Linked DNA regions of Canis lupus familiaris. The protein of the gene in region 1 purifies or fractionates together with the protein of each later gene. This does not show direct contact. Links are inferred from orthologs where the notes say so. Each region holds a gene or a part of one and is shown in the gene's direction. Other genes may lie near its edges. The genes, in order: ING2 and SAP30.

The links.
Region 2: the proteins of ING2 (region 1) and SAP30 purify together in Homo sapiens (affinity purification with mass spectrometry; 3 studies listed by BioGRID and IntAct, counting the BioPlex papers as one, with this or other methods). This does not show direct contact. The link is inferred for Canis lupus familiaris from reciprocal best matches to the Homo sapiens genes ING2 and SAP30.

The regions. Positions count from the first base shown.
Region 1 is NC_049237.1:47,782,702-47,787,203, reverse strand, and holds the start of ING2 (inhibitor of growth protein 2), read left to right. Parts: upstream 1-1,449; 5' UTR 1,450-1,561; coding exon 1,562-1,733; intron 1,734-4,502. UniProt on the Homo sapiens protein: Seems to be involved in p53/TP53 activation and p53/TP53-dependent apoptotic pathways, probably by enhancing acetylation of p53/TP53. Component of a mSin3A-like corepressor complex, which is probably involved in deacetylation of nucleosomal histones.
Region 2 is NC_049246.1:24,120,310-24,124,556, forward strand, and holds the start of SAP30 (histone deacetylase complex subunit SAP30), read left to right. Parts: upstream 1-1,217; 5' UTR 1,218-1,531; coding exon 1,532-1,846; intron 1,847-3,501; coding exon 3,502-3,627; intron 3,628-4,049; coding exon 4,050-4,148; intron 4,149-4,247. UniProt on the Homo sapiens protein: Involved in the functional recruitment of the Sin3-histone deacetylase complex (HDAC) to a specific subset of N-CoR corepressor complexes. Capable of transcription repression by N-CoR.

The DNA.
Region 1 (4,502 bases):
TGGCCGCCGCGTCCAACACTGCGCGGAACCTGAGCCCTGAAAGTCGACCGCACGGAGGAGGACCAGGGCTTCTCTGCTCGCCTCCCCGCTTCCCGCCCCCGAGCCCCTGCGGTTCTCGGCCTCGGGGCAAGGACTGATGGAGGCGGGGGGCGGGGCCACGTGAGGCTCCCCGGTTCCGACACCCCGAGGAGGGGGAAATCCTTTTCTAAAGGTTGTGTGTTGGACAAGACAGGTTTCTGGGGGGTGGGGGGTGGGGGAGCGGGAGGGGGCAGATGCGGGCGACACGGCGGAGTCCCGGGGGGCCGGGCCGCGGACGCATCCTGCAGAGGAGCCGCGGCAGACCCCCCCCACCCCCGCCCCGGCCCCGGCCCGGGGGCAGGGCGGCAGCGCGCTGAAGCCAGGAGGGAGATTTAAACGGCGAGGACAGGAAGAAGCGGCTGGGGCCCGCCGGGAGCGCCGCCTACCTCGCCCTCTGCCCCCGCCGCGGCGTCCCTGAGCGCGAAGGCCGCCGCCGTCGCGGGAGGGGAGGAGGAGGAGGAGGAGGAGGACGCCCGGCCCGCGGGCCGCGTCGAGGCGGCGGCCTGGCGGGAACACGGCCGCCGAGCATGCCGGGAGCCGCGCCCGCTGCACGCTGGGTAGCGTAGTTCCCGCCGGCCTTCCTGCAGCTCGTAGCGAGAAGCGGCCGGACGCCCGCTGCTCTTTTAAAGCCCCGCGACTTGCCGCGCCGCGCCAGGGCGCTCCCCCCCACCCCCAGAAGGAAAATGTCGGTAACAGCGGGCCGAGGGACTCGCACCGAGAGTCCCCTTCCCCGTGGGAACGACGGAAGAAGGAGCCAGCCGCCTTCCCTCCCCGGTCCCATTCAGACACGGAGCGAAGAGGCGGGCTTGACAGCGCTGCCCCTTTAAGAGGGGGCGGGGCGCAGCCTGCCGTTTGGCCGTCCTCCGCACCCTCCCCCCGCGGCCGAGAGCCGACAGACCAATCGCCCGGGCGGCGGAGGGAAGGCGGGAGAATGCGAACCCTCCGGTAGGGCGGTAGGGGCGGGCCCCCGGCCTTATTAGGAGCGAGTCCTGCGCAGGCGCAGACGCGGCCGCAGGCGGAGGGGCGGGGGCAGCCCAGTGAGAGACTCTCCGACAGGCACGGAGGGCGACTGCGAGGAGAGGGGGGCGGCGAGGGGCTTGTCATGGGGACCCGGGCCACGGGACGGCATTGCTAGCGCCGGGGCCTCCGCGGGGGGCGGCGGTGTCCACGCCCGGGACCGCGGCGCCAGCTCCGCCGGGGGATCCCCGCTGCTCTAGTCCTGGGGAGGGAGGGGAAAGAGGAGGGAGCCCCGCTCTCGCCCCGCCCCTGGGCTTGTTCCCGCGGGGGCGGGGAGTGAGGCTGCTTTTGGGGGGAGTGGAGATCGGGGGACTCGGCTGTGCCCTCCCGAGCGGCTGCCGGCGTCCCCGCGGCGCCGGGCTGCCGAGCCGAGGAGCCGCGGCGGCCGTGGCTGGTGCATGTGTGGCTGCTGGATGCGGAGGCGGCGGCGGCGGCGGCGGCGAGGAGCAGCAGCGGCGGCGGCAGGATGTTAGGGCAGCAGCAGCAGCAACTCTACTCGTCGGCCGCGCTCCTGACCGGGGAGCGGAGCCGGCTGCTCACCTGCTACGTGCAGGACTACCTCGAGTGCGTGGAGTCGCTGCCCCACGACATGCAGAGGAACGTGTCTGTGCTCCGAGAGCTGGACAACAAATATCAAGGTAGGGGGCCGCGCGGCTGCGAGTGCGGGTCCTCCCGCCGGCCTGCGGGCGCCGTCGCTCCGAGCCTGCCCTGCCCGGGGAAGTGCCACTTTCCATTTCTCCAGTGACAGGCCCCCCCCCCCCCCCGAGCGCACGGAGGGGCTCGGCGGAGGGGGACGGAGGAGCGGGTCTGGAGGCTGGGCTCGCGGCCCCCCCTCCCCCCGCCGCGGTCGGCGAGGACTTCTGTGGGGTATCGCGGGTGGGGGTGGGGGCCGCTCGTCAGCCCCCGCTGCAGACCCAGCGGCTGCAGCTGGTGTGCGGAGGAATCAGCCATTTTAAGCAGCATTTGTTCCGGCGCTTGCCTGCCCCGTGCCGCAGACCCTCCGGCCCCGGCGAGGGAGCGTGCAGCGGGCGGGGGGTGGAGGGAGTGAGCGGCCGGCCGCAGCCGGGCTCCCGCTGGTCTCCGGGGCCTGGCTTTCCCCACCCCCGCCCCTCCGGCCCCCACCCCGGGAGCAGATGCATTGGAACGTGCGGGGGGGGGCGGGGGAGCAGCAAGAGAGGGCCGCGAAGGCGGACTCGGGGAGGTCCCTCCCTCGGCGCTCCGGCTCCGGGCTCGGGCACCGAGTACGTTCCCTTCTCTCGCCCCGGGGAAAGTTCCGGGCCGCGGCCCTTCCCCGGCGCCTACAGCCAAATGGTTAAAAGGGGAGGGGTCCCGGCGGGGGAAGGCAGAGGGGTGTGTGTGTGGCGGGGAGGGCCTCCCGGCCCTGGGGGCGGGGCCTGGGGCGTGACGTAGGGCGTGGGCGGGGCGCGGGCGGGCGCGCTGCCGCCCGCCTCGAAAATGGCAGGTCGCGGGAAGGCTTGGGCGGAGCTGGCCGGCGGGGCGCTGTCGGAACCTTGCGGACCTTAGCTCCTAACCGGCAGGGTCAGTGCTGAGGTTTGGGACGTGTTTGTCGTGGTTTTTCGACCCTTTCTGAACCAACTCAGGACGAAGAAACGCTCAGCTACCGGGATCATCGCGGACCCTGGTCCCGCGTAGGTTCCGGGGCTTGCGTCACTTCCGGGCCCCAGGCGGAAGTGGGTGGTTGACTGGGCAACCGCCTGGCGTCCCTCAACCCGCGGGTCCCTCCTTCGGCAAGTTTGAGTGATGAGGCAAAAACGACCCTGCGTGGTCAGACCCGGGAACCCAAGGCAGGGAGTCAGGCTTTCCGACAGAGCGCACCATTTGTCATCCAGTATTGGTGGACCTTTCGTCTGCCACTAGGAGGGGAGAAATTTATATGGGGAACTGTTTTGCGTTTAATGACCCTGATGGGGGACTAGACCTTGGACGTGATGTGGAGACAGCCGTACGGACTTGAATAAGATGACTTGGGACCCCGTCCTCTGTTTTCTAGACCGGTCACTAATGTTACGATTTAGTTTCAAAGGAACCCACTTCTGGGGTGACGTTTGCTGGCCTGCAGCGTGTTAGAATATTTAGGTGTCTCTGTGCTTCCGAATCTATACTTTATTTCTGCCTTCTTAACCCACACGATAGGCTTGCTGATAGGACCGGTCTCCGTGAGGGGGAAGAGAATGAAAGAGTGGTTACTTACCGTGGATCATCGCTGTGCCAGGTCCAGAACATTATCTCACAGTAATCCTATGAAGTAAACATTTTACAGACAAGTTAAAATTCACGAGGAATTGAAGTGACTTGTTCACTTAAGTAGGTGGGGAAGTAGGATGCCTACTTCTCGCGCACATCCTTGTTTTTGTACCATTATTAATTTTCTATTAAAACCTACTTGATAAAAGCCCCCCCCCCCCCCCAGGTATTTTCTGCAGACATGGAGCACAGACGTGAATTGTAGCCTAAGAAGATACATGTGTGCTTGAGAATCGTCGATTGAACATTTTTTGTTTTTCACATAGTAACTCCGTGAAGTTTGTAAAGACTGCATATTTTTACATTTCCTTAAGGACACCTATTTACAAGAGTTCAGCCATTTTCATTTGAATTGGGAGGGAAAATTGGTTACAGGGAAATCTGCCATCCTGACCATCTAGAATTGTCCTGAGTGGCTTTGGTAACATGAGAAACACTATTAAGCTCTAAAAGATCGAGAGATTATAAATGTTTTTGGCTCCATTAAGATTGGTGACTTTCAAGATTAATATAAAAACAAGGATCTAGTTTTCAGTCTGTGCCCATGCTTACGAAGCTCCACTTGCACAGTTTTATGTTGATTAGCTTTATGTGCTTGTGTGCTCCGGGATCCAACTTCATATGGTTTTTATTTCTTTGCTAGTTCTTATGTATTTTTTGTTTTTGCGTTTGATACTTACCGCAATATTTAGTGATATAAAATATAGGAAGTCAAAAAAGTTTCTCTCCTACCTATTTGAGACAGTTTCAGAAATTACTGAAGAATCTTTAAAAGTAACCTTAAAAACTTAGAAATAGGGAAATGAAGACAACAGTTTCACAATTGAAAAAAAGTATTTGTTATGGGATATGGTTATTAGAGAACTTCAATATTTGTTCCGGTATTCTTGTTTGTAATTTCTTGGGTAAATAACCATTGAACTAAAAATTAATACTTAATTTCAAGTGCCTTCCGTGGAGCTTAGTAGAAAGTGCTTAAACAGCAGAGCCAGGTGTACATACCTGGCAGAGTTCAAAGTCTAGGGTTGTTACCTCTTGACCTTCATTTTCTTCACATACAGAAATTATACATACCTTCCTCATTGAGCTTGCTTTGGAGATTAAATGAGAAAAGCCTTAACACATAAAAGGGGCTTAGTCGG
Region 2 (4,247 bases), on another chromosome or scaffold:
TTTCAGGGCAGATGACATTTAGGTTTTTTTAAAAAATCATCTATCACTAAATTCACTCAGCAAGCCTGAAAGAACTTGCAAAAGAACCTGGTTCGTATTTTTATTTAAGCCAAAGGACGGCTAAACAGGACACATCCGATACAGTCACAGTGACGCGCAGCAACCGGCAAAGGCGCACGCGCTCCTATCAGCCGCTCCATTCCCCGGCCCCGCCCCCTACAAGCACGCGCCCACGGGCACGCACGCGCACTCACGCACTCTACACGCACAGGCGCGGGCGGATACACACACACACACACGCACGCACGCACTCTACACGCACAGGCGCGGGCGGATACCCCAGGAAATGCGGGTTCTTTCTGGCCTTTCACTCCGCAGAGAGAACGCCGGGAAGTTTCCGAGGAGCACTCACGCTAACTATATCGGGGCTCCACGTCCCCCTGGACAGGGTCCTGGATCCCACTTTTCTCTAGGGCCTTTAGAAGAGAAACGGTGAAGGTTGGGTGGGGGTGGAGGCGGAAAGAAGCCGCTCCACCGCAGGAAGCGGCCAACTTTGATCGCCCCAAAATGAAACCCGATCTTCGCAGGAACGTGCAAGGATTTAAAAACGGCCTTCAGCTGAGGCACTTGGGAAGCGGCCCTGTCACGGTCGAGGTCGGAAGGGCGTTTTTGCCTCAGCTGGTGTGTCAATGAATGGAACTGTGACCCGGGACCTGCGGCATCTCCCGGACCCGAAGAGCGCCAGCTTCCCCGAGTTCTCCTTGGTTTGGGTGTCCCACAAAAGCATGGCCACACCAAAAATTCTTTTTCCACAGTAAGAAAACGGCCCCGAAACTTTTTCACGCCGCACCTTCCCTCCTAGCTTCCCGCCCAGAACATTTTGCGCCTCGCCTCAGGAGCGGGGTGGCCGCTTTGTCTAGTAGAACGCCAACACTGCAGAATCCCGGTAGCGAAAGACGGAGCAACTTCCTGGGAGAGACTAGAAGCGAGAAAACATCACCACCCCTAACCACACGCCCCTGTTTTCCCACTGACTTAAAATAAATAAATAAATAAATTAGCAGCCGAAGCCCTGCCCGTCGCCGCGCGATGCATGCTAGCATAAGTAGTTCCAAGGCGCCCAGTTCGGGGTGGAACTCAGAGTGATTCCCCCTCAAAGAACTACAATTCCCATGGTGCCCTGCCACACAGTGGAAGGGGCGGGGCAGGAGAGGGCTCGTCGCGCGTGCGCAGGTCGGGGGGCCGGAGGGAGGCGGAGGCGCCAGGGTCCAACTGCTGAAGCGTCTCCATGTGACAGTGACCGGAGTCCTAACTCCTGGCGCCGCCCGGTTCTGGCTTCTGACCCCAAACGCTGTCCCCCATCCCGGCGCCAGCGGACAACAGCAGACCGGGACGCCTGGTGTGTGGCGGTGCCGCTGGAGGAATCGCCCCGGCGGGGTCAGGTGTCTGAGGGACCCCGCGGAGACCCCGGAGTCTCCGCAGAGAGGGGGAGCGGCGAGCCGAGCGGGGGTTTCTGTCGGCACGCGGAGACATGAATGGCTTCACGCCTGAGGAGATGAGCCGCGGCGGGGACGCGGCCGCCGCAGTGGCCGCCGTGGTCGCCGCCGCCGCCGCGGCCGCCTCGGCCGGGAACGGGGCAGGGGCCGGCGCCGGGGCTGAGGTGCCGGGTGCCGGGGCGGTGTCGGCTGCTGGGCCCCCGGGGGCGGCCGGGCCGGGCCCCGGACAGCTGTGCTGCCTGCGGGAGGACGGAGAGCGGTGCGGCCGGGCGGCGGGCAACGCCAGCTTCAGCAAGAGGATCCAGAAGAGCATCTCCCAGAAGAAGGTGAAAATCGAGCTGGAGAAGAGCGTGAGTGACGGCGGGACGGCCATGCCCTGCCCTGCTCTGGGGCTCCCGGAGCGGTGCCGACCGGGGTTCAGGGGCGGACGGTTCGGGGGTCCCCTAGACCTGGCTGTGGCGCGAGCCCGTCGCGTGGTCTCGGGTAGGACGCGAACCACAAAGTCGCCGCAACTCGGACCGCCTCCCCCGCAGACCCACGCCAGCCGGCCGCGGGTCCGCTGCTCCCCCCGCCCCCCCCCCGCCTCCTCTCCCTCGCGTGCCCACCCCCACCCTTCCTACCCAACCCCCGCGCACCCCCACCCCGTTCCGGGTGTCCGCCCTGCTCGCCGTCCAACCCCTTCCTCCTTCCCTGAGGTCGGGACACGAAACAAAGAGCACCGCGGCTCGGAGGGCCCGGAGTAGTTTTCTTGCAGCCTGTCCGCTCCTCCTTTGTTTTGCTGCCCAAGCTGGCGCGTGGCCCCGGGGAGCAACCCCCGGCTGTAGGCAAAAGTGTAGTCCTGCAAGCGAGGCCCTGGTGCCGCGGTGGAGACCGACTCCTCTGCTCGTCCGCCGGGTTGCGGAGGGAAGAGAGCCGAGCTCACCCCGCGCGGTGCAGACCGCCGGGCTGGTGGACGCCGCCAGCATCCAGCGCAGCTGCCGGGAATGTGGGGAGCCCGCTGCCTCTGCGGCGCTGCCACCCCTTCGGCAGCATCCGGATTTCCTTTACCGTCCTTGTTGTACACGTCCGTTTCTTGTGTTTCTTTGACCATCTGTGAGGTTTTCAGAAACAACCATTGGCACTTTGCGGAGTTTTGGCTGGCGGTGAATGGATAACAAGATGCCAGAACCTAGCATACGCCCTGCATAATTTTAACTTGGACTTCGTTTACAAGTTAAATTTCAAAGCCTTAGTCTTTAATCGCTTGTTGTTGTTGTTTTTTAAAGGAGTTTAAACTGTTAATAATGCAGCCCAGTATTTCAGATGTTACCATACAGCGCTCAAGACTACATTTAATTGAAGCTTTTGCAAAGTTTGTGATCTATTATGCCTGTTAAAGAGTTCTTCAGTCATGCTTGGGAGACACTTCTCAAGTAAACTTGAATAGTTTCACATTGCCTTTGGTTGAAAAAAACGTAATACAGACAAATACATTCATTAAATACTCAGAAGCTTGTAATTCAGATGTAAATATAAGTAGTATATGAAATCGGTAGCTCGTTTGTAAAAATGGATAGTTTTGTATCTGGATTATAATTTGAGTACTGAGAAAGGATATGAAGCTACTAAAATGTGCTCTTTAGAGAAAATACTGTCAGTAGCAGAATTGTGGGCAACATCATCTTTCCACTTATTAAAAAAACAGCGTGACCTAACAAATCTAATTCACCCTCACTACAGTTTAATTAAAAAATCCAGACAATTGCAATTTCTCATTCTGCTTGTCTGCTTCCCTTCCTTCCTTCCTTTCACTCCTCCCCACCCCACTCTCCAATCCTCTTAACCCTATTGTCAGACACGGTATGTTCTAACTGAATACAGGACTTAAGCATAGAAATATGCTGTTGTCTTAACAATGGCCTATTTTGACTTTTTATTTTTAATAATTCACTGTGCCCTATGTATTTTACTAATACGTAGACACGTTACATAATAATAAGTAGTCTGTGAAACTTTTTTGTTTTAGGCAAGGCATCTTTACATTTGTGATTATCATAAAAACTTAATTCAGAGTGTTCGAAACAGAAGAAAGAGAAAAGGGAGTGATGATGATGGAGGAGATTCACCTGTTCAAGATATCGATACGCCAGAGGTAAAGTTTCTGTATGTTAAATGTAAATCCTAAGTATTCCATTCTGAAACTTCTATTAAAAGATAGGAACAAATTTTAAAAATACTTAATGCGAAAAATCTGAAAATGAAAGCAAAATTAAATATAGCCAATTAATAGGCAGTTGTAGTTTGACTTATGTTTTCAATTCACAATGCTTATACCTCTATTGCCTTCTTTTTTTGCTCCCAGTTCTCAGTATTTACCTTCAAAAGATTGAAGTGCTCTATATATTTGTAGTTTTGATTATGTAAAAGAAGTAATGGAATGGAATTAATTAAATAATGTAATTTTTGTTACTTAATTACATTTTTGTTGTACCAAAATTGAAATGCTATTATGCATATCAAAGATAACAATTTAAAAATTGCATGAACTAATTCTTACATGTTTATTTTTTCTAGGTTGATTTATACCAATTACAAGTAAATACACTTCGGAGATACAAAAGACACTTCAAACTATCAACCAGACCAGGACTTAATAAAGCACAACTTGTTGAGGTATTTATGAAGTTTTAAATGAGCCTGTTTATATAAAAAAGTTATTAAAGGCTAATGAAATTGTTAATGTAGTACGTATAACAATACAGCTCAGTTAGA